Rhinolophus ferrumequinum: one gene and its partners. The protein of the gene in region 2 purifies or fractionates together with the protein of the main gene of each other region. This does not show direct contact. Links are inferred from orthologs where the notes say so. Each region holds a gene or a part of one and is shown on either strand. Other genes may lie near its edges. The genes, in order: CLP1, TSEN2 and TSEN15.

What was found.
Region 1: the proteins of TSEN2 (region 2) and CLP1 purify together in Homo sapiens (affinity purification with mass spectrometry; 3 studies listed by BioGRID and IntAct, counting the BioPlex papers as one, with this or other methods). This does not show direct contact. The link is inferred for Rhinolophus ferrumequinum from reciprocal best matches to the Homo sapiens genes TSEN2 and CLP1.
Region 3: the proteins of TSEN2 (region 2) and TSEN15 purify together in Homo sapiens (affinity purification with mass spectrometry; 4 studies listed by BioGRID and IntAct, counting the BioPlex papers as one, with this or other methods). This does not show direct contact. The link is inferred for Rhinolophus ferrumequinum from reciprocal best matches to the Homo sapiens genes TSEN2 and TSEN15.

Annotation. Positions count from the first base shown.
Region 1 is NC_046294.1:11,512,366-11,521,909, reverse strand, and holds CLP1 (polyribonucleotide 5'-hydroxyl-kinase Clp1), read left to right. Parts: upstream 1-5,427; 5' UTR 5,428-5,548; intron 5,549-5,783; exon of another isoform or gene 5,784-5,923; intron 5,924-6,002; exon of another isoform or gene 6,003-6,115; intron 6,116-6,539; 5' UTR 6,540-6,561; coding exon 6,562-7,167; intron 7,168-7,579; coding exon 7,580-8,251; 3' UTR 8,252-8,671; downstream 8,672-9,544. UniProt on the Homo sapiens protein: Polynucleotide kinase that can phosphorylate the 5'-hydroxyl groups of double-stranded RNA (dsRNA), single-stranded RNA (ssRNA), double-stranded DNA (dsDNA) and double-stranded DNA:RNA hybrids. dsRNA is phosphorylated more efficiently than dsDNA, and the RNA component of a DNA:RNA hybrid is phosphorylated more efficiently than the DNA component.
Region 2 is NC_046300.1:41,979,820-41,990,411, forward strand, and holds the start of TSEN2 (tRNA-splicing endonuclease subunit Sen2), read right to left. Parts: upstream 4,674-10,592; 5' UTR 4,573-4,673; intron 1-4,572.
Region 3 is NC_046305.1:15,433,969-15,444,306, reverse strand, and holds the start of TSEN15 (tRNA-splicing endonuclease subunit Sen15), read right to left. Parts: upstream 4,256-10,338; 5' UTR 4,236-4,255; coding exon 4,110-4,235; intron 1,507-4,109; coding exon 1,425-1,506; intron 1,125-1,424; coding exon 989-1,124; intron 1-988. UniProt on the Homo sapiens protein: Non-catalytic subunit of the tRNA-splicing endonuclease complex, a complex responsible for identification and cleavage of the splice sites in pre-tRNA. It cleaves pre-tRNA at the 5' and 3' splice sites to release the intron.

The DNA of each region.
Region 1 (9,544 bases), on a different chromosome or scaffold from region 2:
GGCATAGCCCAAGTCTGGTTCAGAGGTGCCAGCTGGGTGTTCTGGCAACGCTAGGCCACGAAACTGAACAGGCAACGTGGCTCTGGGTAGTCGGGCAAACGGGCTCTCATCCTGTCCTCTGTGGTGGCTGCTAGTGGCCCGGCTGTTCGTTTTTCCAGGGGTCATCAGGCAGTCTCTCCACTAAACCCCCATCAGAGACCGTCTTCAGTTTCAGGTCCTCTCCCTGTGGCTGGGCCCCAGGAAGACACCTTGGGCTGAGTTCAGGGTGACATTGGGCTCTGGCCGCAGGAAATGGGCCCTCCTCACCAGCACACTGGTCAGCGTCCACTTCACTAGTCGGCCTCCAACTTTGCCTGCAAGTACCCCTCTGCCGCTCCACCTAGCACACCTTCAAGGGCCCGGGGAGGGGGCCAGCCAGGTCCCTGCTCTACCTCCTTCCCCAGCCTCCGTCACGCCTCCCGCCCCCTTTCTCTAATGCTTCCCCATCAAGCAAGGAGAGGCTGCACAGAAGGATAGAGAATACTCAGAGGAGGGGGAGTAGGGGTCATTTCTTCCCCATCTCAGATCGCAGGGAAAAGCACATTGGGCAAATGACTGGGGAAAAAACAAAGGCAAGCTAGCTGAGTGCTGGGGAGAGGATGTTTCCCCAAGTGAGCCGGGGATGGATCGTGGGAGGCAGGGGAGAGGGAGGACTGGGGTGGGGGTGCCGGGGAACCATCCCCGACAGCAGAGGCCCAGAGGCGGAGGCTGGAGGAACCAGGTTCGAATCCCATGCCTCTCGGGAGGGGAAAAAAAGGGAGGAGGCCACCTGCTCACAATGGATTTTCTCATCTGCTCTGAGGCTTCGGCCCCCTCTGGGCTGGCATTCTCAGCATGGTATGGTCCAAAATCATTAGCAGCACAGCCAGCTCCCTGGGCGGGCTTTGGGGGGTCCACACCAGCAGCAAAACAATAAACAGTGATGCCTAATGCTGCAGCTGAAGTTGCCAGGAAATAAGTGCGGGAACCATCAGCGCTTGGAGAGGGATGGAGGCTCTGAGAGCGGAGCGGAGGCAGCAGGGAGGGGGAAGGGAGGACAAAGGGTGGATGAATAATGCTTTTGCAAAGGGGAGAAAGCAACACGCAGCAGGAGGAGGAAATTTGCAAAGGGAAAAAAAAATTCATTTGGAGAAGGGCTGCCCCCTCACCTTGAGGTCTGCTCCAGAGATCTCCGTCTATCTCTCTTTTTCTCAATCTCTCTGCTCACTCTTCTCTCTTCTCTTTCCGCTCCTTCAATTGCGAAGGGGATGGGGGCAGGGAGGGGACTAGGGGCTCAGGACGGGCTGCAAAGCTGGCCAGCTGCTGGGGGGCCAGAGGTTGCCTCCCGTCTGCACCGCGGTCTGTGGGTGAATGTAGCTGGTTGTGGGACTGCATCATAACACTGTGAGTCATCCGCCCCCCACCCCCTCACCTCCCACGTCAGAGCAGGGCTGGGAGACACAGGAGGCGGGGCGGGAGGGAGGGGGGACAGGAATCGAGGGGCGGGGATGAGGGAGTGGGGCAAGGGTTGGGAGCAGAGGGACAGGACCAGGAGGGGACGAGAAAGAGGACAGGCTGGTTACCGAGGAGGAAGGCAGTGTGGTCAAGGAGAACCTGGGGGAAGGACAGAGCTGGGCAAGGATGGAGCACGGGTGGCAGGGCTGGAGGAAAGGAGGTGGCAAGGCAAGTGACGCTGAGAGATGGTTGCAGAGTGGCGCCTGCACACATGCAAAATGATATATTCCTCATTTCGGCTCAGATGGACAGCAGCCCTGATGCAGAGAAAAGAAAGACATACTAGTTGTCACATATGGCAAACTGTGCCCCCAAGCTTGTACCAGGCATTTGCAAACCTCAAAGCCTCAGCGTAATAGCCTACCCCACCAAGGAGTCATAGAGCAAATGCGACATCTCACGTGTGGGAACCTCTTATCAACTATCGCCAAATTGCTTGTGCTTCACGAACGGAGACACCCGCATTACATAAGGTTCTCTACCGGGTTGTAAACTTTCTGAGGCAGGTCCCGGGGGCAGTTCCTCTGTTCACCCCAGGACTGCAATGCCTAAGTGCAGAGGTGATGCTCCCAAAACAGCAGTTGAATTGCATCTTCAGGCGTGATCCCAGTGTCTGGCTTTGGTTTTAAAGAGACCTGAGATAAAATCCCATCTCTGCCAATATACTCACCAGGAACCACTGGGCAAGTTCCTGATCCTCTCTGTGCCCAGGTTTCCTCTTCTGCTAAATGAGGCTAACAATATTTCCCTCACAGAGACATGCAGCAAAGTGAGATGACATGTAAATAGCTAAAACGTGCCTGGCACCTGATAGGCACCTGGTAAACAGCCGTCGCTGTTATTTCAAAAGTATGTTCTCAACTTGATACCCTGAAACCCAGAGAGAGGGTTTATTATTAAGTTATGGTAGCTCAAGAGACACATGCCAAATTTGTGTCGTTTGAAGAACTCACGTCTTTCAGTGCTATCTTTCTATCAGCTTCCAGTTATATTTCTTTTGACTCAGAATATTTCTTATGGGGGCGGCCGGATGGCTCAGTAGTTTAGAGTGTGGTGCTCTTAACAACAAGGTTGCTGCTTCACTCCCCACATGGGCCACTGTGAGCTGCGCCCTCCACAACTAAACTGAAACAACTACTTGACTTGGAGTTGATGGGTCCTGGAAAAAAAGACACTTAAAATAAATAAAAGTTTAAAAAATATATTTCTTATGAAGTGCTGCCCTGTGCATGTCACTGAAGTATGTGGACACAGAACACATCCTCTAAGAGAAACTCCCTGATTTCTAACAGAGGCTAACATTCAGGAAATGAAGTGTGACAAAGATGGGGGCTTACAGAAAGGACTGCTTGTGGGTGGTTAGTTTTTCTTTCAAACGTAAGGTAGGATTCAGAGTGAAGGAATATTCAAAATCTGGCTGATATCATTCTGGTTGCTATCTTTTTCTGTGGATTTCCTGTATTCCTTCCTAACCAATTACTTCAAACAAAAAATTAACCTGAACTTTTATTTTAATGAGTCACAAGATAGTCCCTCAAAAAATACTTTTAGTATATAACCTCTTTGCCTTCCATCCTCAATAACTAATGGCATCTTCTGATGCAAGATTTACATAAAGCCTTGTTAAATATAGATTTAAAAAAAAGTAAGGTAAGGAAATGTAATGGGAGGCATTGCTAGCTGGGTGTGAATAAAGGAATTCTAAATATTTAATCAGAAGATTCTGGGGTTTAAGGTAAATTCTGAAAACACAATGTAGGTGATAGTACCAGAACTTTGAAATTGAGAGGGAAAACTCGGTAAAGAAAGAAGAGGGACGTGATCTTGACTGGGCAACAGATAAGAAAGGAAATATAAACACAGGAGGAATATGCGGAACAATTCTTGAGGAAAACAGTGGGAAGTGGGAAAACGGAAGGTGAGTAGTTTTAGGACAAGGATTAAAAGTTTGGAAGCAAAAAGAATATCAGTTTAAATTAACTTGGGAAGAAAATGATCAAGGTAGTTTAGCTGGAGAGGAGGTTGGAAAAGATATGAGGACAGTGTTATTTGGGGGTGGGGTGGAGATGACAGGAGTGCTTGGTGAAAGAGAAAAGAGAGTGTGTAGGCAAGCACAGATGCATTAAATGTGCCCTGACTCTTTCTGTGTTTAGAAAGCAAAATGGAGAAAAGTCTAAGCGGGGGTGGGGGTGTTTCTTTTCCCTAAATTCAGTTTGAGATAGCTATACAATATCCAAATAAAGATGACCTTCAGATAATTGGAAGAAATTGCCTCAGGGGAGAGGGTGTGGAGGCAAAGAAAAAGACCTGGGAAATAAATAGACTGCTCGGAAACAGGAGAAGAAGATGAGCTCACTCGGGGAGAAAACTTGCGAATGGAAGACTGGAATTGAATTTTTGAAGAATGGTGAAAGATTAGGGAATATCTAATAGTTCATTGGAGAGTTAATGCACGCATGGTGAATGCATGAAATATTTAAAACAAGCTATCAAAGAAAAAACTGTGAGAAGTGAGGATGGCACTCTTAGAAAGTGAGTGCTAAGGTAGGGTCAGTGGGACAAAGGCAAACCAGAAAATCTTTCTGGGCTTTCAGTCCAGATTAACCATGTGAGCTGGACTCAAAAAAGTACTCATCTATAAGGCAGGGATGACAATGGTAGTATGTACTTCACAGGGCTCTTCTGAGGATTAAATGAATTTACACCTGTAAAGCCCTAGGACAGCACCTGGCATCTAAGACTATGTGTTTGCTGTTATTATATTAACTGGACTCAGACTCCAAAATCCTGGGTTTGAGTCCTAGCTTGGTCAAGTCCCTTCACCTATCTTCATCTCCCCCTCATCTGAAATTGGAGATAATAAAACTTACTTTACAGGGTGACTGTGAAGAAAGGTAACCTGAAAGGGCTTTGAAAAATGGAAACCACTGTAACAAATGGATGGCATTATTATAGCCCCGCTTCCTCAGACTATAATAAAAACTTAAAAGCTGACATCAAATGTTTTCTGTGTTACAGGCATCGTGCTTTAGAACTTTGTACATCGTGCTTTAGTACAGGCATTAGTACTTTGTGTATCATCCCATTCAATCATCAAAACGACATTAAGAGGTCGGGTACTGTTATCATCCCCATTTTACAGACAAGAAACTGGATCTCAGAGAGTTTAAGGCTATGATTCGCCCAGTCACAAAGTGAGCAAGTCGCATAGCAAAGAATACAAGATTCCAAAGCCCAGGCTGGGGAGAAGTGGCTTATAGATGTAGCCCAACCTGTTGACCTTGTGTAACTGTCAGGGATTTAGGGAGGGCAAAGAGTACCCAACCAAACTCCCCACTCAAAAGAAGAGAGGTGGTTGGGTAATGACTGGGTAAAGAGTAACAGGAAGAAATTCTTGGATTTTTATTCAAAAAAGTTGTTTTCAATGCCCTCTAGGTGCCAAGCACTGAGTCAGGTAGGGGATGACAGCCCAGGTGGGCCTCTGACAGGCTGTTTTCCTCCACTTTCCCTACACCTAGGTTTCTTCGTGTCCAAGAGGGGTTTGCCAATTTCGTCACTTCCTGGCTTGTGGTCCAGGCAAGCAGGCTATCGTGGGACATTAATAGTGAGGCCCCCTCCGTTCCCCTTCCTGGGTAGCAGGTGAGCGGGAACACAGGGCAAGAAACCACACCGGCCGCGCCCACGCGACCCACGGCTCCTCAACCGGTCCCCGCCCCGCGCGGGGGCGTAACCGGCACTCCTACCCGCGTCCCGCCCACTTTGCGAACAACGTTGGCCGCAGCCCCTCCCACTTTGGCGTCATTATCAAAACAATCCTTTAACTACAACTCCCAGAAGGCCGAGCGGCTGCATAAGCTGGGGCTGTTTCTGTACAACTATATATCCCAAGGGGCATCGCGCCACCGTGTCTCCTCCACTGCGCAAGTGCAGAACCACCCTTGTTTCCGGCGTGGGTCCCAGCGAGCTTAGGTCCTGTGTGGGCGGGCTTCTCCATTTGGGGCTCGTGGCTGTGCAGGTGAGATAATAAGTTCAGGAAAGCTACTGTCGCTTCCTTGGGGCCTGGGCAGATTTTGTGTCTGGGGAGGCTGGGACAAATGCCGGACCTAGAGCTGCAGTCTTGTATGAGAAATACACTGGTACCTCGGTTTTTGAATGTCTCTGTTGACGAATATTTTGGTTTATAAAAGCTGTAAATTTTATGGATCTATAGTATCATTAGATAGTAAAATTCATGCTAAATTTGTAGTTTTAGGGGTTGATCTTAAAGGTCTGGAACGGATTAATCCATTTTGTATTACTTTCTATGGGGATACCGCGCCTCTGTTTTCGAACGTTTCAGAACTCGAACGGTCTTCCGGAACGGATTATGTTAGCAAAGCGAGGTACCACTGTAAGTCTTAATTATTCCTTGGCGTTTTCTAGCTTACCAAGTGTTTTTTTTCCCTTCAATAATCCCTGTTAATCCCCAGAACACTTTTGTGTGAGGAAGTTTAAGTGCCTCCGGTTGACAGCTGAGGAAAAGGATCACACTACTAGTCGTTGCTGAGCAGGGCCTTAATGCTGTTTTCTAAGTTCACACCAGGTATTCTCTTCTTTGCATACGGATTGCAGATGCCCTTTCTTGTTGATTAAGGGTTGGGAAGTCGGCATCCCTTGCTTTCTCAAGTCTGGAGTATCCCAGTAGAGTGAAGGGAATGATGAGATAATGTAACCAAGTGTTCTGTCAATCTGTAGATACAGTTTTCTAATTATGTCTGAGTCATTTATTCACTTGGTGTATTTATAGAGGTGCCTATGGGTTTTAAAGTCCTACTCTAGTTACTAGAGATGCAGCAGCAAAACAAAAATGCCCAACCCTAGTGAGGATAGACAGACAATAAAATATGTGAGACAGATGGTGATGAGCGATAAGGAGAAAAATAAAGCAAGATAAGGAGTAACATCCACTGGAGGATTCTGAACAGAGTTCTAACTTGTTTAGATCTGAAATTTACTTTGTATTGTAGGCACAACAGCTACACAGAAAAGATGGGAGAGGAGGCCAATGATGACAAGAAGCCAGCAACTAAATTTGAACTAGAGCGAGAAACAGAACTTCGCTTTGAGGTGGAGGCATCTCAGTCAGTTCAGTTGGAGCTGCTGGCTGGCATGGCAGAAATCTTTGGCACAGAGCTGACCCGAAACAAGAAATTCACCTTTGATGCTGGTGCCAAGGTGGCTGTTTTCACTTGGCATGGTTGTTCTCTCCAGCTGAGTGGCCGCACTGAGGTGGCCTATGTCTCCAAGGACACCCCTATGTTGCTTTACCTCAACACGCACACAGCCTTGGAGCAGATGAGGAGGCAGGCGGAGAAGGAAGAGGAGCGAGGCCCCCGGGTGATGGTCGTGGGCCCCACTGATGTGGGCAAGTCCACCGTGTGCCGTTTGCTGCTCAACTACGCAGTGCGTTTGGGCCGCCGCCCCACTTACGTGGAGCTGGATGTGGGCCAAGGCTCTGTTTCTATCCCTGGCACCATGGGAGCTCTCTACATTGAGCGGCCTGCAGATGTTGAAGAGGGATTTTCTATCCAGGCCCCTCTGGTGTATCATTTTGGCTCCACAACTCCTGGCACCAACATCAAGCTTTATAATAAGGTCAGAGCCAAGGTCGGGTGGAGGGAAGGGTGGGTATTGAGGTAGGAAGCTGTGCAGAAGTTTGCTAGTTAAAACTGTCTACGGCCATTGCTTTGCTCCCTTAGCTGGTATTGCCACATGATTTCAGAAAAGACAGTTTCAGATATAAGTCAACCTCTGATTGTAAATGTTTCTGTGGACCTATTCTTAAGTAATTATTAAATTTCCATAAATTCCCATGTGGAACATGAAACAGGAGACAGAAGAAACAACATAAACATTAAATCCATCTTGTGGGGGTCAAAACCACAGCCATTATAAAATGTTGTTTTTCTTGTACCTAACACCACTTTTTCTAAAGAGGGACAAAATAGCTATGGATTTGTTCTTTTTTGCGGTTTTTTCCCCCTCACCTTGATCCTTTCTTCTGCAGATTACATCTCGTTTAGCAGATGTGTTCAACCAAAGATGTGAAGTGAACCGAAGGGCCTCTGTGAGTGGCTGTGTCATTAACACCTGTGGCTGGGTGAAGGGCTCTGGTTACCAGGCCCTGGTGCATGCAGCCTCAGCCTTTGAGGTGGATGTGGTTGTGGTTCTGGATCAAGAACGACTGTACAATGAACTGAAACGGGACTTGCCTCACTTTGTACGCACTGTGCTGCTCCCTAAATCAGGAGGTGTGGTTGAGCGCTCTAAGGACTTCCGGCGGGAATGTAGGGATGAGCGTATCCGTGAGTATTTCTATGGATTCCGGGGCTGTTTCTATCCCCATGCCTTCAATGTCAAGTTTTCAGATGTGAAAATCTACAAAGTTGGGGCACCCACAATCCCAGACTCCTGTTTGCCTTTGGGCATGTCCCAGGAGGACAATCAGCTCAAGCTAGTACCTGTCACCCCTGGCCGAGACATGGTGCACCACCTCCTGAGTGTTAGCACTGCTGAGGGCACAGAGGAGAACCTTTCCGAGACCAGTGTGGCGGGCTTCATCGTGGTGACCAGTGTGGACCTGGAGCATCAGATGTTTACTGTTCTCTCTCCAGCCCCCCGCCCACTGCCTAAGAACTTCCTTCTCATCATGGATATCCGGTTCATGGATCTTAAATAGAGATCAACAGGAAGCCTTGCTGCCTGGGGCATGGAGATCTGGCCATCACCAAAGGCAGGTGGGCTGAGGTATGAGAATCTGTTGAGAACAGGCTGACAAGTAAATAGTGACTAGTAGAAAGTTTATGTTCTACCTCTAAAAACCCACCTCTTGGGTGGTGGTAACACACCTCTTCTAATTTTGAACCAAAAGGAAAACCATGGGAATATAATTGGTTTCTTTGATCCCGAGGGGCTGCTTTGAAATCTTGAAAGCCCTAGGGAATCCCATTTCTTTTACTGTTTTTATCACTGTTTTATATTTTGTATATAGTACTTTTTATCTCATTTATCCAGAATGAAAGATTGTGTTAAAAGGCCTCCTTGCAATAAAGTTCAAACTTGGGAAAAAATTATTTTAATAAATATTTTTGCCGTATCACAGAAGTTGGTATAGTTTTTTCAAATTGTTTTTTTCCCCTTAAGAATTATAGAACCATCATTGTTATGATCTATTGCTAAATGCTTAGAAGAGAGGAAAGCCAAGAGCGCATCTATGAGCCAAACAGGTGAATTTTTATGATGGTTCCCCGTTCCTCTGCACTTAAGTAACTAGATGGCAAATCTGTTGCCAGAGCCAGGGTTACTATGAGAAACCAAAGAGGCTGGTGATAACTTGGGATGAGATTTCAGATCTAATCATTTTCCAGAGATGGCTTATTTTCTCCCAGCTGCAGCTATCTTTCCTATTGTCTATTTGATTGGAATCAGGCCCTAAATCAAAGTGTAAATTGAGCTTTCAAGGAAAAGTCCATACTCTGATCTCTTGCAAATGACTGGGTTCCTAGTTTGGATCTGGATTATTGAATAAGTATCTGATGCCCTTCATTCCTTCTTTCCACAAGTATTTATCGAGCACCTACTATTTGCTAGGAACCATTCTAGATAGGGAACAGGATAGACTAAAAGTCTTATGGAATTTACAGAACACAAAAAACATAAGTGCTATATGCAGAGACTTCAAATTGGGTGATATGGGACAGTGACCGAGAGGCTACTTTAGATTGGGTGATCAGGAAAGGCCTCTCCTAAGCATACACTTCGAGTTAAGACCTAAATAGCTGTGTAAAATTTGGGTAAAATATTTCTGGTGGAGGAAACAGTGTGAAAACTTAAGAAAGGAAAAAGCTTGATGTGGTTGGTGAAGGGAATTGCCGGTGAGACTGGAGTGTAGTGAATCCAGGTGAAGAGGCTGGAAAGGGCAGCAAACATAATGTAGGGATTTTGTAATCCAAGAGCAGTGGGAAACAATGAG
Region 2 (10,592 bases):
ACTAATAGTCAGAGGTGCTGAGGAGATAAAGATAAAACCAAAAGAGACCTTGTCCTCAAAGAATGAAATCCAGTGAGCACTTCATTTTCCAAAAAAAAGGACCTTAAAATACATTCCTAACATTATGTCAATCATTTTTCAATATTTAAGGCAAATTGATAAATAATAACAATGATAGCAGCGGTTCTCATTTAAGGCTCTATTGTATACCTCCATAGGTGATGGCTAAGAGTAGGCCCTCTAAAGCCAGAGTGCCGAGATAGAAATCTGCTTCATCACTTCCTAGCTGTGTGACTGTGGGCAAAAGTTAATGTCTCCATGCTTTGGTTTCCTCATGTGCAAAATAAGGGTAAAAATAGACTCTGTCTTATAGTTAAGACCCATAAATTGCTTAGAAGAGTACCTAGCACACACCGAGTGCTATGCATGTGTTTGCTGTGGCTATTATGAAGGGGTTCATACTACCAACACGGTTATACAGATGAGGAAACAGATTCAGGTTTGGGAGATTTTGTAAAAGTCTCCAGGGAGTAGGGGCACTGGACTCGCCCAGGTCTGCTGAATGTCAGAGTTACTGAGAACTGTGGGACTGCTTACTGTGCACCCAGCACTACAAGAGAGTCAAGGAAGCTGAAGTCAGTACCTCTCCCTTCCAGGCTTTACACTCAGCCTGAGGAGACAAAACAAGCCTCTAACACACAACAGGCTGCCATTCAATAATGGCTAGAGGAAGGAAGTAAAGTTGAGTGTATTGTGCGATAAAGACATAGAGTCACAGTTGATGCATTTAACTTAGGAAAAACTCAACCGTACATACGCAAGGGGAAAAAATGCAAACAGTGCAAACGGACGGATGCCCTGGAATGAGACAGGAGATTTGGATCTGCTCCTGCTTCACTGCCGGGTCTGGACTCGATTTAAACGGAGAGCAGAATCTGGTGCTTGGAGATCCCATGGAGCCATAGCACACACACCTTTAGCCTATGCGGCTCCAAGCCCTCAAAAGGAGAAAAGTAGGACGAACTATTGAGGTGCCTCCGGCACTCAATAGCAGCATCCCATTGGGCGATGGATGTAATCAGGCCTGACACAGCCATGAAGGGGGCCGAAGCTGAGGAAGGAAGGGCAGTGGTTTTAAGGGTTCATGACCATTCAAAAGAAATGAAAAGCTTTGTCCAATGTGTGGTACCTTTCCCCACCCTCTCAAAAAAGCTGAGGAGTTAAATGAGGATAAAGACAAACATAGACCAAGGAAGAGTTAGAGAGACTGACACGTCAGTTACAGAGATAAGTACGAAAAAGAAGGGTCAGCAAGTTGGAACCTTCATAGAATTGCCGAAGTATTCCAAGCAGCAAAACGCTAGGATAATTTAATTTCTAAGATCCCTCAGTGGAATCACATACTGAGCATGACTGTACACATTTTATACACACACACACATTGCTGTACAGCATTCATAACAAAACCATGTATACCGCAATTAAGGTATTTTTCTTCCAAGAACATTTTAACTAGATTTTCACTTGCTGCCTTATTCCTCGATCCAAGCCAACTATTGCATTTAATATTCAACTGAAGAAACCGCAATTTATTCTAAAACTCAAACAATGCTATTTTGGCTATTTTGAGGCAGGATGTTGATCTCTAATGAGGATCTTTCTAGAGATTTACAGGAATGATTCAGACTTTTATGAGATTTTCACTTTTATCACTTAACCTCTGGTTAGTATTTGACTTGTATATATTACCTTTGGAATTTTTAAAGAGAAAATGTTTAAAAGGGCTAACTTCTAGAACTTCCAATTAAATTCTCTCAAACAAGCAAAAATGAAAAGGTATATTTTAATCCTTGTTTGTTTAGTGTTTTTGCTTTCAGATTGCTGTTACTCTAAAACAAGAAAGAATGAACTATGATACTTGATGGCAAGAACTCTGTATTCCAACAGAGTGTGTGATAGAGGGGTTCCTGCCACAAAACACTGTTTTTCACAAAACCCTCAAAATCTGGGATCTAGTGTCACTTCTGCCCAAGTGACAGAATGTACATCAAAAACGTGGCTCATAGGAGGCCTTCCATATATATGGAAGCTGCCATTACTATCATTTGACCTTCACAACCCACTGAAGCTCTCTGAGCCCAGTTTCTTCATCTTCAATTTGAACAGGACTGGAAAACAGTCTGGAAGTTATTCAGATGTCAACACAGAGTAACCATATGATCCAGCAATTCCATTCCTAGGTATAAATACAAGAAAACTGAAAACATGTTCGTGCAAAAATATGTATATGAATGTTTACAGCAGTATTATTCATAATAGCTAAAAAGAGGAAACAACCCAAATTTCCATCAACAGATGAATGGATCAACAAAATGTGCTATATCCATATAATAGAATATTATCAGCAATAATAAAAAAAATGAAGTACTGATACATGCTACAATGTGCATGCATCTTAAAAGCATTATGTTAAGTGAAAGAAGCCAGTCACAAAAGACCACATATTGTAGACCATTAATATGAAATGTCCAAAATAGGCAAATCCATAGAGACACAAAGTAGGTTAGTGACTTCCAGTGCTGGGGAAGGGAGAAATGGGGAGTGACTGAATAGGTATGGGGTTTATTTTCAGGGTGATAAAAAATGTTTAAAATTAGACTGCAGTGATGGTGATGGTTGCATAACTCTGTGACTATACTAAAATCACTGACTTGTCCATTTTACAAGGGTGAATTTTATGGTATGTGAATGATCTCTCCATAAAGCTGTATCTAAAAGAGTCAACAGAACAAACCAGATGATCTCTAGCTTCATAGTTTTGTGGAAGAGTTGTCTTGTGCTGAACTTAGAAGGCAAAGCAGGGGAGAAAGGACTGAATTACTACTGTCCAAAACTGCCACAGGCATTTAAGAAACATTTCTTTAGTGCCATGATAGGAGAACAGCATGATGCCAGATGTGGAATGTAAGATTAGAAGAGGGTAACCATTATGGGTAGGTACAGCATTCGAAGTAGGCACTGGCTGTGGTGTATGCTACACAGGTGGTACTATCCTCATTTCACAGACAAGGAAACGGAGGCTTAGAGAGGGCAGGTCATTTGCCCAAAGCCCCATTGTGAGGGAAGGTAAGAGGTTAGTAAGGTAGGGAGAGAAGGCATGGTAAGAAAACTGGCCTAAAAGACCTGTATGTCTGAAGCACAGAGATATATAACAAGGAAGGACTACATTAGTTGTCAGGGGGTTTGGGATGTGAAGGCTGGTTTAAGACTTAAGAGCCAGTGCAGCTTATGACAACTGAAAAGAGATCAAGAAAATTAACCCGGGGTGGCATATAAGAATGGCTCTCAAGCTTGGCTGTCCTTAGACTCACCTGGGTAAATTTTAAAACTCCTACTGTCCATGCCTTACCTGCAAATACATCAGAAATTCTGGGGTGGGACCCAGATGATTTCAACATGTAACCAAAGTTGCCAACCACTGGTGAGAGGATGGCCTATTCATACACACTTAATCCCAATAACCCCCTGAGGTAAGGACGTTGCTATTCCCATTGTACAGATGAGGAAAAGGACTCAGAGGGGCTGAGGGATATGCACCTGTAAGAGGTGGTTCCTTTTCCTTTCCCAAACGACAACAGCAGTGTTCATTAAGTAATTCACTTTTCCATCGAAACCACGGCTTGCTCTTTATTCTTCCCTTGAGCAGATAACACCTTTTAGGCGCTCAGTTGTTTATTCCAAACAAAACAAAGCAAAACACCGAGCGGGGAAGGTAAGCTACATTTAGTTTTCCAGTTCCCTGGGTCAGCCTTGCCAAACAAGCCTGGTTAATACCTACCTACCATCTAGCAAGTTCACCTTTTCCCAATTAAAAAATGTTTGAAACGCCAACTGCTTACCTCCTGGGCTAGGGGAGGCGGAGATAAAAGGGACAAGGCAAACAGTCCTCCCTCGGGGGGATCTTTCAAGTTAGAACCCGAGACTAAGACATAAACAAACGACAAACCTTTGAAGGGTGTTGTGAGGATTAAAAGGGTAATTGTGCAAAGGTGCCCAGTACAGGGCCTACTACCACGTGGAAGTGTTAGCCAGACGGTGGCTGCCACTGCAATAAATGATGGCACACAAGCCAAAAAGAGTTAAGGGCTCAACAAATCCGTAACTGTCTGAACTTATCCCCTCCACCCCGCAGCAACCCCACTAGCGGCTGAGGTCTTCTCGCGTAGAGGCGGTGTTGGATGTACCTCGACGTCCCCAGCCCTGGACATGGCGTCTATGTTTCCAGAAAGAAGGAAGAAAGAGAAGTACGAAGGACTACAGATGCACGGAGAAGGGGAAGAGTGGTTAATTCAGGCAGAACTGGGAAGCCGAGCTCCCCGTCCCGGCCCAGTCTAGTCCGGCTGTGCAACCCGGAGAAAGTCTCTAGGCCCTTGTCACTGTCGCCCCGGAGGGCTTCCGGAGAAGGCTACGTCTCCTCCTGGGACTGACAGAACCTCGCCCCTGCCCCGTGCGCTGGGACCACAGCGCTCCACGCCGGGATACACCGCCCGCTCCCAAGTCCAAGAATCTTACCTCCTTCGGCCCCACGCACTCGCCGTTACCCTGACAACGCCGGCCAGGGGGGCGGACACCGCTGCCGTCAAGCAGTGCGGCCGCAAAGCCGGACGTAATGCGCAGCCGCAGAGCCCGAGGGACAGCCCGCCAAGTCTTTACGGAGCGCGCCTGCGTACAGTTCTCTTCTCCGTATGGCTCGACCTTCGCATATTAAAGCGAAGGCAACATGTCCTCTTTCCTGTCCTCCCGGGTATTATACGGAGGTCCCCTTGCACAGATGCTGTTTTCGTTTAATCCTGACAACAATCCCTCACCACCCATTTTACAGATGAGGTTCGAAGTTATTCGTTATTCGAGATTTAACCCAGAGTCCTCGCCCCTGGGGAGATGGGACTCTTGAGCGACCAGTCAGTCTATTACACGACCCCGGCCCTGAGGAAATGAGGCTGAAGTCAGCCCTGACGCTGGTTTCAGCTTACTCAATGCATACGTATAAGCTGCAGCATGCAGGGCGTAAAGAAGCACCCCTTCGCACACACCTGACCGAAAACCACTGTGCACTGGCTGCCCTGTGCAGTAAAAAGAACAGACCAGGAGTCAGATCTGCATTTGTGATCTCACTGACAGTGTGATCTTGAGTGAGTGACAATCTTTCTGAGCCTCATTTCCCTCTAGTGAAAAATGGGTTGCCAGGATTATGAAGGATGAGCAAAAGTGTGTTGGGAAATGTAAAAGTTTCTCCTGACTTGGTTATTTTAAAGGTGGCCTGGTAGGAAGTCCAATACTATATATCTGCCCAAATATGAACTCCAGGGTCCTCAGGGCGCATACCACACATGCTAGGCAGTTGGGGAAGGTGGGTAACAGGAAAGGGTGGGGCTAGATGTGATGGGCTTTGAAATCTGGACCTTTCCCAATTTTCTCTTGTTTCCAGGCTTTGGAACTCACTGTTGCCTCTGCCCGGAACATTCTTCCCTACTCTCTTTGCAGCAGTAATTCCTGGTCACCATTTAGGTCTCAGTTCAGATAGCTCTTCCTCTAGGAGGTTTCCTTTTGCTTCCCTAGACCACCTTGGATGACTTTCCTCTGTGTCCCCTGTTTCCTGGTCCTCCTTAACTGGTCTATGAACTCTTGGTAGAAAGAGCTCAAGACACGATGGGCCTTAAACGGCTCAACTGAAGAGTTCAGACTTCAGATAAGCCAAAATCAGAATAGTTTTCTGTTAGTGTTGCGAAAAAGGGAGAACTTCAGCAGGATTCATAGAAGAGTGGTATCAGAATGGACTGGGCAGGGAACAGAGAGTTGGGCGAGATATATTGTACCAGAACGTGCCAATTTAGGAAATACTGGTTTTAGAATTAGAGTTTTAACAATGAAAGGGAACTCAGAGGTTATCCAGTACAACTTCATATTTTAACTGATAAGAAAAAAGGTTCAGAGGCATTGTGAGTTGTCATAGGAAGCTGAGCAGTCTGAGGGGGATGCTGAGACTAGAGCCAGTCTCCTGAACCTCCTCCTGCTCCACAGCCAGGGGCTTGGGATTCCCCCATAATGGAATCTTAGGTAGCTGTCATCTGGAGCCTTGTCTCCACAGAGGGTCCCCACAGAGTGGAAGTTACTGAATAAAATATTCTTCCCTCAAGACTTTCTCCTGAATGTGTATGTTAAACCTTTTGTTACGGTCACTTTCAAACATACATAAAATAGAGTTATCTAATAAATCATCACTTCCACATCTTCAGCCTTTAGTATCTTATTTCTTTTACACGCTCCATATACACACTTTTATCCCACTCCTGGAGTATTTTAAAGTGACACCAGACATCATATAATTTCACTCAGAATATTTCAGTATGTACCTCTAATTTTTAAATTTTATTATATATATACCTATATTTGATTCTCATTATTCCAGTAATTCTATAGTGTCCCTGCGAACACTGAATTAGTGAATATACTGAACCATTGCTCCCAGCTGAAATACAGGGTTAGGTTCTTGCCAGTCTCTGGACACAACATTTTCATCCACCGATCAATATATAAGCTTGTTTTATGTGTGTTTCTGTTTAAAGACACTTTATTTAATATCTACTATTGATTCACTAACATTGAACTCATGGCCAACAGCACTATAACTCACATCTGAATGAAGCTCATCTAACACATGTATTTATTTTCTCTGTAAGACACATCACAGCCTTTTTGGCTAAGGAACCCTACACAGCACTTCAGCACTCTGCTTAGGGTCCATTTTAAACAGCGAAATCACCAACAGAAAGTGCAAAAATGAGAAAAATATAGCACTAAAGAGATTGAAAAAAGCACACTTGTTTAGGGTATGAGAGCTGAAAACAAGAAAGTATATGTCTGTTGACTCCAGTTGAGAGCGTGCATATTGGAAGATACAAATTTTTCTTCGCTGTATGCATGTGTACGTCTACAAATGACCAAGCTCTGTGAGTATTGATTTTGGCATTACAAGTAAAATTTAGCTAGTAGGTGAATTTGCAAGTGCAGAATCCACCAATAGTGAGGATGAACTGATATATATATATATATATATATATATATATATATACACATATATATATATATCCCTAATATCATTAGCACATCTAACAAAATGAACAACAATAGCGTTTATCTGTGATATGTCACACGGAAACTTCATGTACTATTTGGGACATACTTATACTAAAAACAAAATTGTTTATCTGGAATTCAAGTTCAACTGGGTATCCTGTGTTTTATCTGACCACCCTAAGGACAATTTATTTGGCGTTAATATGCGCCGACCACTTTGCATCCTATCTTATTTCATTCTCACCACAGCCCTGTAAGATGGTGTCCTCATCTCTATTTCACAGTTGGGGTTCCTTCCCTCACCCAAGTTCTCAGAGCGAGGAAGTAGTGGAGGCCAGATGAGGATCCAGATCCGGGAGACAATGGGGCTTGCATTTATTTTAACCCATCAGGCTAGATATGGGAGGGTAGTGCATTGATAAAACACAGCTTTAAATGTGGCAATACAAAAATGACCGACAGCAAGTGTTGGTGGGAAGTCACAGAAGACCGAGATGGGTTGAAGGACCCGGAGGCTTCCTGGAAGAGGTGGCCTTTAAGCTGAGCCTGGAAGGAGATTTAGCCTGGGGAGAGTGGAGAGGAGAATGGAGATGGGGTCTGCCGCACAGGACTGGTCCACGTGCCAGGCAGGTGTGGGCCTGAAGGTTCCAGAGCGGGGGAGGAGCTGGGCCTGGCGGGGACAGGAGGTCGAAGCTGCCGATAAGGTCCGATAGGCAGGGCGGAGCCCGATTGTACCGGCGCTCAAATTCCAGGCTTGGCCTTTGGACTTCACCCCGTAGACAATGGGGAGCCACTGGCGTTTCTGAGCAGGGCAGGGCGGCCCCAGCTGTCACACTATTGTTTTTCCCAGACAGTGCCGAACCCTGCAGTGTTGCAGCAAGTCCACTAGATGGAGATATTTTAGCAAATTTAAACCACCCAGCTTCTCGCGGACACTGCTTTCCGGCGAGGAAAACAAACACAGGGTCCTCGCAAACCGTGCGCGTGTTTATTCGCAGCATCCGCAACAGAAAATGCAAGGGCCGTGAAACCAAAATCAAATCAAGAACACAGTCCAGTTTCACCCTGCCTGTGAGATAGAACCTCAGATAATTTCACAACTGAAAGAGAGAAAGGGTCAGGGTGAGCAGGAAAGGGCAGACAGTTTTAACAAGTGCTCTCTCTGCTTATATTATCTAGCTTTTAAGTCTCACGACAGCCGTTCAAGGCAGGTGCTATTACCCCATTTTACAGGTGAGGAAACTGAGATACGGAGGGGTACATTTGCTCTATTATTTACCAAGCTGACACCAGGCGAGGCAGGGGAAATAGTTGATACGATGTGGTAAGAGGTTGTCTGGGCAAGCCGCCAAGGCATTGCTTTGCTGGGCCCTTGTGCAAAGCGTTGGGCATTGCCTTTAAATCCTACTTTGGTTGCTAGAAAAACCTGTAGCCTGGATGATGAGAGCTGAACTCCTGCTATACGCACAATTCCAGGTGCTTTTTAGAAAGTCTCAATTCTCTCAAAACCCAGTGAGTTAGGGATTATCATGCACCCATTTTACAGGTAAGAAAACAGATTCAGAGAGATGAAATGATTTTCCCAAGGTCACACAGGGAGTAAGCACCAGAGGGGGAATTGGATCACAGGTATGTCTACTTCTGCCCTGTGACTAACAATCAAGCACATCTGACTTCTGGGTAAATTTGCTAGAGAAACTTGGGCATAGATGTTGGAAGAGACACACACACAACATTTTCTTTTTCTTTATTAAAGCCTGGTGATTTGTAATTTTAAAAAAAGGAACAACCTAAATGACCGTCCCTAGAGAAATGGACATATAAAGTGCGGTTTAAAAGGTTCATAGAATGCAATACTGTGCATCTTAAAAGGAATGAACTAGCTCTTACATACTCATACACAACAACATGGATAGATTTAAAAAACAATGTTTGGTGATAAAGGCAAGATGCAGAACAATATGAGTCCTCTGATGCCATTTGTGTAAATTAAAATACACACAAAACAATATAAAATACTAAATGTATCTATAGGTAAGCTAAACTAAAAATAGCAGGAAGGGTGAACACCAAATTCATTAGCTATCTGTGGGAGTTGGGTAGGAAATAAGAGGACTTTAGCTCTACGTTTAATTTCTTAAAAAAAAAACTAAAAGCAAATAATAGGAGTGGGAATATAGATGATAAGTTACTTGTTGTATTTCTTTAACTGTTTTAATGTTTGCACAGAAAGATGCTTTGGGCAAACAAATAAATACAAAACTAGAAAACTACAAGTTGCCAGTACTCTGGGATGGCCTGAGAGGAAACGGGGAGAAGGTCATCAGAGGAAGTGAGACAGGTTCTGGCACTGAGACGCACAGTCCTAGACTCTGTTAGGGGAATGTGGCTGATGGGGTCCAACTCCTGGCATCCTACAAAAGGTCCCACCACCTGTGAATGTCCTTCCCACCTGGGAGAAGTGAGCGCCAGGTGAGGCTGTGGGAACCCCACAAGCAGGACAGAGAGGAACAGGAGGAGGTGCAGGGGCCCTGGGGAAGATATGCCTCCGCTATGGGAGAGAGATGGCCGGAAGTGGGCACACCCTCTGGCTTCTCTCCCTCCCTCGTTCCCTCCCTTTCCTTTCGTCATTTTCTCTGAATTCAGGGTCATATAAGAACATTTAATGGGTGTCTTTGAGGGGACACACCCACTTTCCAGCACCAGGTACTCCAACAGGAAATTAAAGGTAATTCTCACTTTGCCCATCTCCCGGGGCTGAGGTGACCAGCATGTAAAGTCACGAACACCAAGGTTCTTTGCAAACTATCAATCACTAAAAAGAAATAGAGCAAAATAAAATCTTATTGCTTTTTCTCTTTTCCCCTCTTCCTTTACATTTGTCATATTACACAAAATAATATGGGATAGATATAGAGCCTAGCACTTTCCTTGCATTGGCTCATTTTACCACTCATTTATTGCTCATTCCAGCTCTATTAGTAACGACTTTTCTTATCCCCATTTTGAAGGTGAGGAAAGTGAGTCAGAGAAGTTAGTTATTTACCCAAGGTAACCCAGCTAAGAAGTGACAGAGGTAGCTTTAAACCCAGCTACCTGTAGGGCCGCTGTGCTGCATTCATACAGTATGTTTTATGGTCTCATATCTTACTTATCCTTTTGTGTTTTGTTTCTCTCTCTCTCCTAGAATTCTTCTTTGTCCCAAGTTGCTTTTATCTTGTATATGATCCCCTGCAGGTCCCCACCTCTGAGCTCAGAATCATCATTTCCTGGGTGGCTGAAGAACTCTGGTTTGCTCACAGGAGACAGGGGAGAACAGGCCCAACAGGGCCCAAACCTGGCTTTCCTGCTTGCCTGGCTACGTTCACCTCAGATGTCAAAAGGCCTGAATTCCAGGCAAACCAGGAATAATGCCCCAGTCATCAAATTTGAAACCAAAATTCAGCAAAGACATG
Region 3 (10,338 bases), on a different chromosome or scaffold from region 2:
CAAAGTGTTTTAACTATGAACATATACTATGTATAACTGCTTTACAGAAAACACCAGTCACAAACTGTACTTCTGCTCAGAGTACTGCATTCACTCACTGTCATTCTAACACACATTCATGTTGTAATGGAATCTGACTGCGCTATTACCAGAAACTGTACATAAAATCACCAGGTTCAAAGCCTGGGAAAATAAGTGGGAAATGGATATAAAAACTGTGTAAGGAGTCTTAGAAATTCACTCAGATATAATGTTAAATCTTATCTAAAATTGTTACCTTTTAAGGAATCAGCAAATCCATTTACATCATAAAATAAACAACAGAAAGAATAAGCCATACAAATATATTAATATAGGCCTCTCTGCCACTCAATAGTCAAGATAGCTCCTGAAGTGATTTTAAAGGATAAGTGAGATTACTTATTGTCATCACTCGAGAAATATTTTATAACCAAGTTGTAGTTAACTATGTAAATGACAGGGTTTGGTCCAGTTTTACAAACTTGGGACTTCAAGACAGGGGATAGCTGTAATGCCTTTTATGCTATATGCCCTTTGTAAATAACATGAAATTGCACCTCCAGCAAATCACCAAATCCTCTGGTTCTCGGGCTTGTATACCACCCAGATTCTCTAGTAATAAAAATGCTATTTAAAGTTTTTAAGGAATAAAGAACATTTTTTTAAAAAGTACTCTAATCAAACAGCTAAGCTGCATAGTGTAGGATAGCAAAACTGCTGTGCTCAGATGGGTTGTGCAGTACGTGGAAAACAATTCATTTCTAACAATGAAGTATCAAAGTTGTCATGTTATTTCTTAACAGAAAATTAATATTCCCCGTAATATATTATCATTCTCATCCACTCACATTCCACCATGCTTTCATTTTTTTTCATTGAGACATGACTGACGTATAACACTGCATAAGCTGAAGGTGTACGATGTGATGAACTAACCTGTTAACCAAAGACCAAAATCACTGCCCACCTGTTATGGCTGAGGGAAGCACTGATGGGTGTAGGCACCACAGTCTGTAACCCTTCTCCTTCTATCTCGGTACCAACAAGGCAGATGAGCTGGAGATCTGGTAATCCCACACAGTTTACTTCATGCCAGCTTTTACCTGAAAGAGCATCATTGAATGGAAAGTAGTGTTTATCAAAAATCAAAAATCAAAATTCTAAACTTCTACCTAATACTCAGCTGAGAAAATACCACTCATAACACTCTCTTCTCTTTATTTTTCAGTATTTTCTGCTACCCGGTAATTTCCAATGTAAATGAAGAAATTACTAAATTGACAAAATTAACAGTAAATGCATATATGATGGTTATTATAATGTCAGCAATGCAATATTCCAACTTAACTCCCCAACTCTTCACCACAGACCCAATAATGAAACAATATAAACAAGTAACTTACTCTCCATGAGGTCCAGGTAAACCAAGAATGCTATATAAACTTGGGTGGCATCTCCTACGTCTAATTCCATCATTTCTAAATACTGAAAATCAAAAGGTAATTGTTAAACAGAGAAGGATGAATCTCTTAATATTTTCTTTCACTCAATCAACAACTATTTATTAAATATATCTAATGTATAAAACTCTTTTCTAGGTAGAGTGGGAGTTACAAGGCAATTTAAGATCTGATCCCTGCATCTAAAAAACTTCCAATTATTGGATAAACACATTGCATACTTGTTAGGCAAATAACAATGACAGTAAGTAATTAAAAGCCAAGTGAGTGGAATTACAAAAACGTGACACAACGGGTCAGAGATGCTCCATTCAGATGGCTTAATTGGTGAATGTTTTATGGCAGAGGTGGGATGCAATTGAGCCCTGGAGGACACATACGATTTGAGTAAATTGAGAAGGTAGAGTAACAGTGTAAGTAATCACACAAAGATGAGAATAAGCCACACATATTCAAAGGCCTATAAAGAAACCTACCTGCCAGGAGTAGAGACATTTTTTAATAAGATTTTTGTTGCGGCATGTCAGTGGAAGCTTCTATTTCCCTGGTCTCTTATTTGCATGTGGAGAAAACTCTGTTAGAATACCACTCCTGGCCTCTTTCCCCACCTCTTCCCACTTAAGAGTAGGGAGTTCTTTAGTTGCTGGATTTTAAAGAAAGGACCAAGAAAGCTGCTACTGCTGCTTCAGGGGATACCTGAGATTGTCCACCTAGGCAGTGGCTAGATGAGTAAGCGGGGCTAATGCAGAGGTGAGGGATCAGTAGACCCTCTTGGCTACATATCTGATGTCACATTCTCCTACCGGCGTCATCGCTTCATCGCAAGTATACAGGTACAGGGGTGTGGTTCGTTTTCCTCCAACTTCACATGTGCTTGAAAACAAGCACTGAAAACGTAATTGGGAACTAGGTTGCAAGGCCTTGACGGTTAAGCTAAAACTCTGACTTTTTTCCATAAGGAAACATGGAGGATTTCTAAGCGTGAGAATAATATAATGAAAGTGGTGTTTAAGGGTGATACAGCTGATGCCATATTACTGGGTAGACTACGTTATTTTCAAATCGAATATTAAAAATGCAGAACTGGAAAAATCAAGGACCCAATGTATTTTCTTTTCTTTCTTTTTTATTAATCAATTAGATCCTTCAGGAAGAAAATCAAAAGGGAAGATCTGATGGTCAGGGCTTATATAGCCATTAACTTCAAAGGGAAAAAAATCTGCAATTATAAACACTGACAGCACCACCAAATCTAGATGAGGTTTTTAAAACTTGTTGCGGGTGTTTTACTTATTAAATACTTACACAGAGCTTACTATGTTGTCGATTGCTCTACACACTTTAACTGATATAATCCTGTAATAACCCTGTGAGGTAAGTTATTACTCCAATTTTACACATGAGGAAACAATGAGATTAAACAACTTGCCCCCAATCATAAAGCTGGTGACAGAACCGGGATTCAAACTCAGGCAACGTGACTTTGAGTTCATACTCCTAACCACTGTGCTGCCTCTCCACCTTATGGTTTTTCTTTTTCTGGCACTGCATAACCTCTCCATGTTCCTGTGTGTTTTTCTCACCTTGAGGGGGAATAAAGGGACAGAGTTCTGGAAAAAATTAAGCAGGAGAAAATGAAAAGGGGTTAACTTCTCAGGCTGGTATCCTCAAAATTTTCCTTTTCTTGACTGTTCTTAGGTGATCCCTTATGAACATTGCTCTCCAGCAGGAGGCTGCAATTCTACTAAAATTACCAGACCAGTCCCTGAGATTCCTACAAAACCCCCACCGCCGCCATTCATCGTCCATTCATTGCTTGGCACATTACTGGTACAAGGCACCAATTTGCGCCAACAGAAGCAAGCAAGAAATTCTCTTTCCCTCCCTTACTGCTACTAGAGAAAAATACACCCACAAGATGAGTAGTTCTTGCTTTGGGGAGGCACCTAACTTTCCAAGAAATTCGAAAACTTAGGAAGCTGCACTTCAGCAAAATCCAGACGCACTGTGTGGGCCCGAGGCCAAGTGCCTACACCTTCATCATTACAGTCTCTTAGATCTTATCCGTGGCCCACAAACTGTTTTTGCGTGGTTGCTGTGGGGAGTAAATGAGCCCATCCCCAGAACCAGCCCTAGACGGCAACAACTCAGATATTAGTGGTGTGGCTGCTGTCGGCCTCTGGCTTGCGAGGGGCTGGGTTTGTCTTTCCCTGCGGATAAGAACAGCGAGCGAAGTGTGTGTGTGGGGGGGAGGGGGAGGTGGGGGGGAGGGGGAGGTGGGGGGGAGGGGGAGGTGGGGGGGAGGGGGAGGTGGGGGGGAGGGGGAGGTGGGGGGGAGGGGGAGGTGGGGGGGAGGGGGAGGTGGGGGGGAGGGGGGGGTGGGGGGGGGGGGAGGTGGGGGGGGGGGGAGGTGGGGAGGGGGTCGTGTCTGAGCAACAGTTCAACTCATTTCAACACGCAAAACCAATACCGCCTGCGGCTGGCAGGGTGCTTTCGGGTCCCCTTCCGTGAGGGTCGCGCGCACACTCAGCGACCCGGCCCCGCAGGAGTGGAGGGTAGCGTGCAGCCCGGGGGTCCGCCGGGGGTAGCGGCCTGAACCGACGCCCCGCTCCTCTCGCGCTTCCTGACCTTTGGGTGGGTGCCTATCCAGGCGTCCTCGGGGGCCCAGGAGTGGGCGCCGCCGCCGCTGCGAGGGCCGCCCGGGCCCAGACCGCTGCAACCCGGGGTCGGCTCGGCATCGCCGCGCTCCTCCATGCCGACCGGTGGCGCCCGCCCGTGGTGCACCGCGCCCCGCGCCCGGCCAGAAGCAGGGATGCGCGCGTCTGGGTTCCGCCTCCCTGCGGCCGGCTGCCTCCGCCCGGGAGGACTCCCATGCTGGCCGCAAAGGGAGATCAGCCCCGCCTTCTGACACCAGTAGCGAGAACGTGCACAAACGCACTCTAGTTTCGCGGTGCGTGTATTCCAATCCGGGCAGATACGCGAGTGAAGAAGGTTCACTCTCCTGAGCCCAGAAGCCCTTAACTCTTCCTTACATCAGTGCTGTTTGCAGCTCTATTGAGAAAGTAGAGAATCCTTATGGCCTCTTTGCGTTCAGCATCGGGTCCTGGTCTCCAATTCCTGAGAACAGGGAAAGTCTCATTCAGTGTCCTGTCATGTAAGCTTAAAGTGTGGAAGTGGAGGAGATCTCTGTAGATGAAAGTGAAAAGAAGAAAGACCAGACTGCTGAGAACTGTAATTTTGGGGTGGACCCACCTTTCAGGATTAGAGGAGCAAGAGGAAATAGGAATAGTTGAATGAGTGGTCAGAAAAGTAGGATGCAAACTAGCGTAAACATGGGACCAGGAAACCAAGGTTGAGGAGTTTCAGATAGGCAGAGTAGGATATTGTAAGCATTTTTGGATTTACTATGAGTGACATGGAGAGAACATTGGAAATTCCTGTTAGGTTTTAATGGTATCTCTGGCTGATATGTTGAGAATAGACCTTAGGAGGCAAAGGTAGAAGGAGGGACTGGTTAGGAGGCTATTGCATTTGGCAAGGCAAGATTCAAAGTCACAGGCAGAGAAAGAACTTCTGCTTCCAAATATGACTAAGACCCTACTGGACTATCCCCCCGTAGAAAACATTTATAATGTAAAACTTGGACGTTATACAAAAAGCAACTACCAGAATATACTGAATGCAAACAGAAGCAGGCTCACTGGTAGGAAGGGCAGCTTGCTTGGGAGACAGATAAGAACTATACAAGAAAATTTTCCTTTCCTTGGCGTTTAGCTTGAGACTCGGTACAGTCCAGGAGGCAGGCTCAGCGGCAGCAGGGGTGCATATGGAAAACCTCTCCATTTTTCTTATCTGGGGAACCAGAAAAGTGAAGCCAGGAAACTCTGAACGCTTAAGACATTAGGAAATCGCAGAAGGGAAGGCTCCAGAGAGGGGATTTCCCAAACTCTGTTGGCTCACATCTCCGACAGGTCCTGAACCACTCGAAACAGAATTACAGCAGTTCATTTGACAACAAAGGATCTGAACTGAGACCAGAGCTGTCCCTAAAAAACAGAGTTTGCAAATAATCCAGCCAAGAAAATTACCTACTAATATAAAGGAAATAACACTCATCATGGAAAAATAATAGACCCCAAACCTCCACAACTCATCATTCAAAATGACCAAGACATGAATCAAAATTACTGACACAGGAAAATCACATTTGGATTACATTTTCTAGAGCCCAATCCTGAGATGAATCAGATGTTGAAACTGACAGAAAAGAATTTGAAGGTAACCATGAAAACTATCCTCCACGAAGCAAAATAAAACATGTTTTCAGTGAATGAAAATCTCACGAGTCAAATAGAAAATCTCAGCAGAAGAAAAGAATCAAATGGAAATCCTGCACCTGAAAATTAAAATTTCAGAAAAAAAAATCTCACTGGGTAGATTTAACAGCCAAATTGCAGAGGGGGAAAAAGTGAACTTGAAGGTAGAGCAAAAGAAATCATCCAAGATGAAAAACAAAGAAACATGATTTTTAAAAAATGAACAGAGCCTCAGAGACCCACAACATGATATCAAACAACATACTTACAAATAGAACACCCAGCTGAGAAAAGAAAGAGAATGAAGCAGGAAAAAACGTTGAATAAAATATTTCCCCAAATTGGATGAAGGACAGAAATTTGCAGGTACAAAATGCTAAATGAATACCAAGTAAAATAAATACAACAAAATCAATGCTGAAGTCAAACTGTTGAAAGCCAGATAAAAAGTTTGAATGCATCAAAAAAATGGAATATACGCGTATTACACACAGGGAGAAGTGCCTCTATTCCTGAATGTGATGTAAAACCACACATGAAGATCTATAAATTGTGCTAGAATGTATTGCGTTTGAATCAAGTCATTAACATTTGTCTCCAGAAAGCCCCTGCTAAGCTCTAAAGAAGCAAATAGCACTGAAATTAATAGGCTCCTTAAAGCACTGAACACTGACATTAATTCAAGTCACTGGAAGCAAATAAATCTTTCTCTTTGACCTCCCAATCCATTTAGATGATGGTATTTATAGTAGCATTAAGAGCATTTTGTTCCTAATATGAGTAGAGGGTAAATTTTATAAATCAGTAAGGAAATCCAATGGATTAGGTACGATGTGAACAATCCTCAACTACCTTCAGGGGAAGATTTTCAGTTTAAACTTGAGTTTAAGAAAAAAACCGAGGGAGGGTGATAGGGAATCCCAGAAAGAAGCGGAAAGACCTGTAAACTGAAAAGACAACAGGTAATGGTACCCTCTGGCAAACAGATGATGATCTATTGCTTACAAAAAGCAAGATACGTTTAAGCACGAATATTAAGTGCTTATGAATTGTAATGTCATTGTCTATTTTAAAAAGATGAAAATGGAGTATCTCTTGGCTTTTGTATTAAGCCATGAAATTTTATAAATAGACCTTGGTAATTGGGTATGGCTAAGAAAAAAGAAACAAAGGATTTGAGAACACTTAAAACAACCTAGTTTTTAAAGGATTAGAATCCAAATGACTATTGTGGCAATGTAGACTGAAATCCATAGAGAACAGGTTTGAGTTTCAGCTCTTGATAGAGTGAAGGATTTCTCGTTTTACACATACTTAAGTAGTTCACTATATTAGAGAAGCAAAGTGGTTTGGAAAAAAAGCTAGGTAAGTAACAACAAATAAAATGCCCCCTGAGTATACTGGATGTGATCAAGTTCAATGTAATTTGGCCCTTGCTCTACTGATTTCCCATCTTGATATGTGAGCCAGACCATATTATTCCCACAAAAATATCTGTAATGTCTAGGCCGAGACATATTAATTCAGTTAGAATCTCAAGAGGAAAAACACACTTTGAGTTGTGAGGTGAATTTTTAGAAGAAAAACTTTTTACACAGTATTGTATAAGACAATGATCTCAAGCTGAAAAATTTAGGCTAGCATTCTGGATCAGCTTTAACGCATTGCTCGTAAGAATGTTCATATATATTTTGTTCCTTCTTTTGTACATAAAGCACAGAATTTCCCATTCTTTGTGTCTCAAGGAGAGTACGTGAGATGTTTACACTTTGGGTAAAATATTTAGAATGCTATGATATTTTACTATTCATATGAATGAGCATATATGAGGGTTTTTTATCATTCAGAAAATAATTTAGAGTAATTCAAAAATATGTTCTCTCCAATTTCTCATTAATTTAACAGTGCAATCTAAATTCCCCCTTTACAAAATCAGGATATAATATATTTAAAATTTTAAAATACGGCTTATATTTGGGGCAAAAAAAAACAACAACAACAAAAATAAGGTACCTAGTAAAGATAAGCAAGCTCTTAATGGAGAACATTATAAATGTTACCCAAGATCATGAGAGAAGACCTTACCTAAATGGAAGACATACTGTGCTTCTGAAGAAAAAAATTCAATATTGTAAAGATGGCAATTTCCTCCAAATTGATCTATAAATTCTAGCAATTCTAATCACAATCCCTACGGGGACTTTCCTAATACCTGATAAGCTGATTCTGAAATGTGGGCACGAAGGGCCAAAAATAACCAAGATTCTTCTGATGAACAAACCGATGGACCTTATTATAAATGTTATAATTGACAGTATGTGATATCGGTACAGGGATAGATAAGTAAACTGATGGAACCGAATACAGGCATACAAATTTGGGCAGAAATGATGTATGCATTGCAGGGAGGAGTTGAGGCAATGTATTTTGCATATATATACATACGTATGTTTGTATAAAAAGAACTTGGATCCCTAATTGCACCATAAACAAAATCAATTCCAGATAGATTAAAGGCTTAAAATGAAACACAAAACATGTAAGATTTTAGGAGAAAATATAAGAATATTTTATGACCCTAAAATAGAGAAGAATTTCTTAAATAAGACACAAGAAGCACCAACCATGTGAAAAAAAAGTTTGATAAATTTGACTATATTTCAATTAAGAATTTTTGACACAAAGATCGTGGAGGACAAAAAGCTATAGACTTGGAGAAGGCATCTGTAACCCATAATTGAAAGACATGATTCACATCCAGAATATAAACATAACTCCTAAAAATCAATTAGGAAATAAAACACTCTCTAGGGGGAAAATGGGAATAAACAGGGGGAAAAAAAAGACATAAATGGCCAGCAAATAAAATTGGTGCTCATCTACATTGTTAGAGTGAGAAAATGTAAATTAAGACAAGATGATAGTATAACATACCCATGAAATTGGCAACAAAACCTCAAGAGTTGGCTGAAAAGTAGAGCAGATGCACAAATCCTATGATCCAGCAAAACCTGCTCCCAGGTACATAGCCTAGAGCAGTATTTTTCAAACGGACAATAAGGATCCACTAGTGCTTGTAAAGTAAATATGAATGCATTAGGGCCAGTTTTTAAAAATGAATTTTAAAATAGAATAGGAAATATAAGTGTGTGTTGCATATAGTTAGAATAACTGTTACTAAGTATTGCCTCATGAAATTTTTGTTTGTTACATATTTATAGCATACCATGATACCAAATGTGTTTCTAATTGATGGTTATGGTTAAAAAAAAAATTTATCTCCTTTGGATCAGGAGACATATACAAGAGTATTTATGAAAGTATTGGTTGTAACAGAAAAAAACAAAGACAAGCCAAATATCTATTAATAGTAGAATAGATAAATCCATTGTTGTACATTCATACAATGTATTACTATGTGAAAATAATGAGCCACAGCTTCAATCAACAACTTCGATGAATCTCAAAAAACCTAATGCACAGTGCAAAATATTAGTCACAGAAGAATATATAAAATATGATTAAATTTACATAAATTTCAAATACAGCTTGCACATGGATGCTCACAGCAGCACTATTCATAATAGAGCAAAAGTAGCAACAACCCAAATGTCCATCAGTTGCTGAATGCATAAATAGAATGTGGTATGTCCATATAATAGAGTATTATTCAGTAATAAAAAGAAAGTACAGATACATGCTACACCATGGGTAAACCTTGAACACATTATGCTAAGGGATAAAAGACAGCCACAAATCACCACATATTGCGTAATTCCTTTTATGTGAAATGTCTACAATAGGCAAATCAATAGAGACAGAAAAGGTTAGTGGTTTCCTAGGGCGAGGGTTGGGAGAGAATGGGGATCGACTGCTAATGAATATGGGATTTCTTTTTTGGGGCGATGAAAATGTTCTAGAATTAACCGTGGTGATGTCGCATAACTCCGTAAATATAATACAAGCTATTGAATTGCATACTTTAAGTAGGCAAACTGCATGGTATGTGAGAAAAATTCTAATAGAGGCAACACTATGCCTATTGGAGGCATATTTAGGAGGCATACCAGTCAGGGTTATCCAGAGAAACAGAACCAATAGGATGTGCACATGTGCAGAGGTGTGTGGGGGGTGTGGGGTAGGGGTAGGGAGATAGCGAGAAGAAGGCGAGACAGAAAGATCGATTTGTTTTAAGGAATTGGCTCATGCAAGTGTAGGGCTGCCAAATCCAAAATATGCAGGGCAGGCTGGAGACTCAGGGAAGACTTAATGATTCAGTCTTGAGTCAGAAGGCAGTTTGGAGGCAGAATTCTTTCCTTCTCGAGGAAATCTCAGTCTTGGCTCTGAAGGCCTTCAACTGATTGAACGAGGCCCACCACATTCTGAAAGATAATCTGTTTTACTCAAAGTCTACTGATTTAAATGTTAATTGCATCCAAAAAATACCTCACAGCAACAGCTAGACTGATTTGATCTAAAGTTTGGGTACCCAAGCCTGACTAAGTTGACACATAAATTTACCATCACAGAATGTAAAGTTC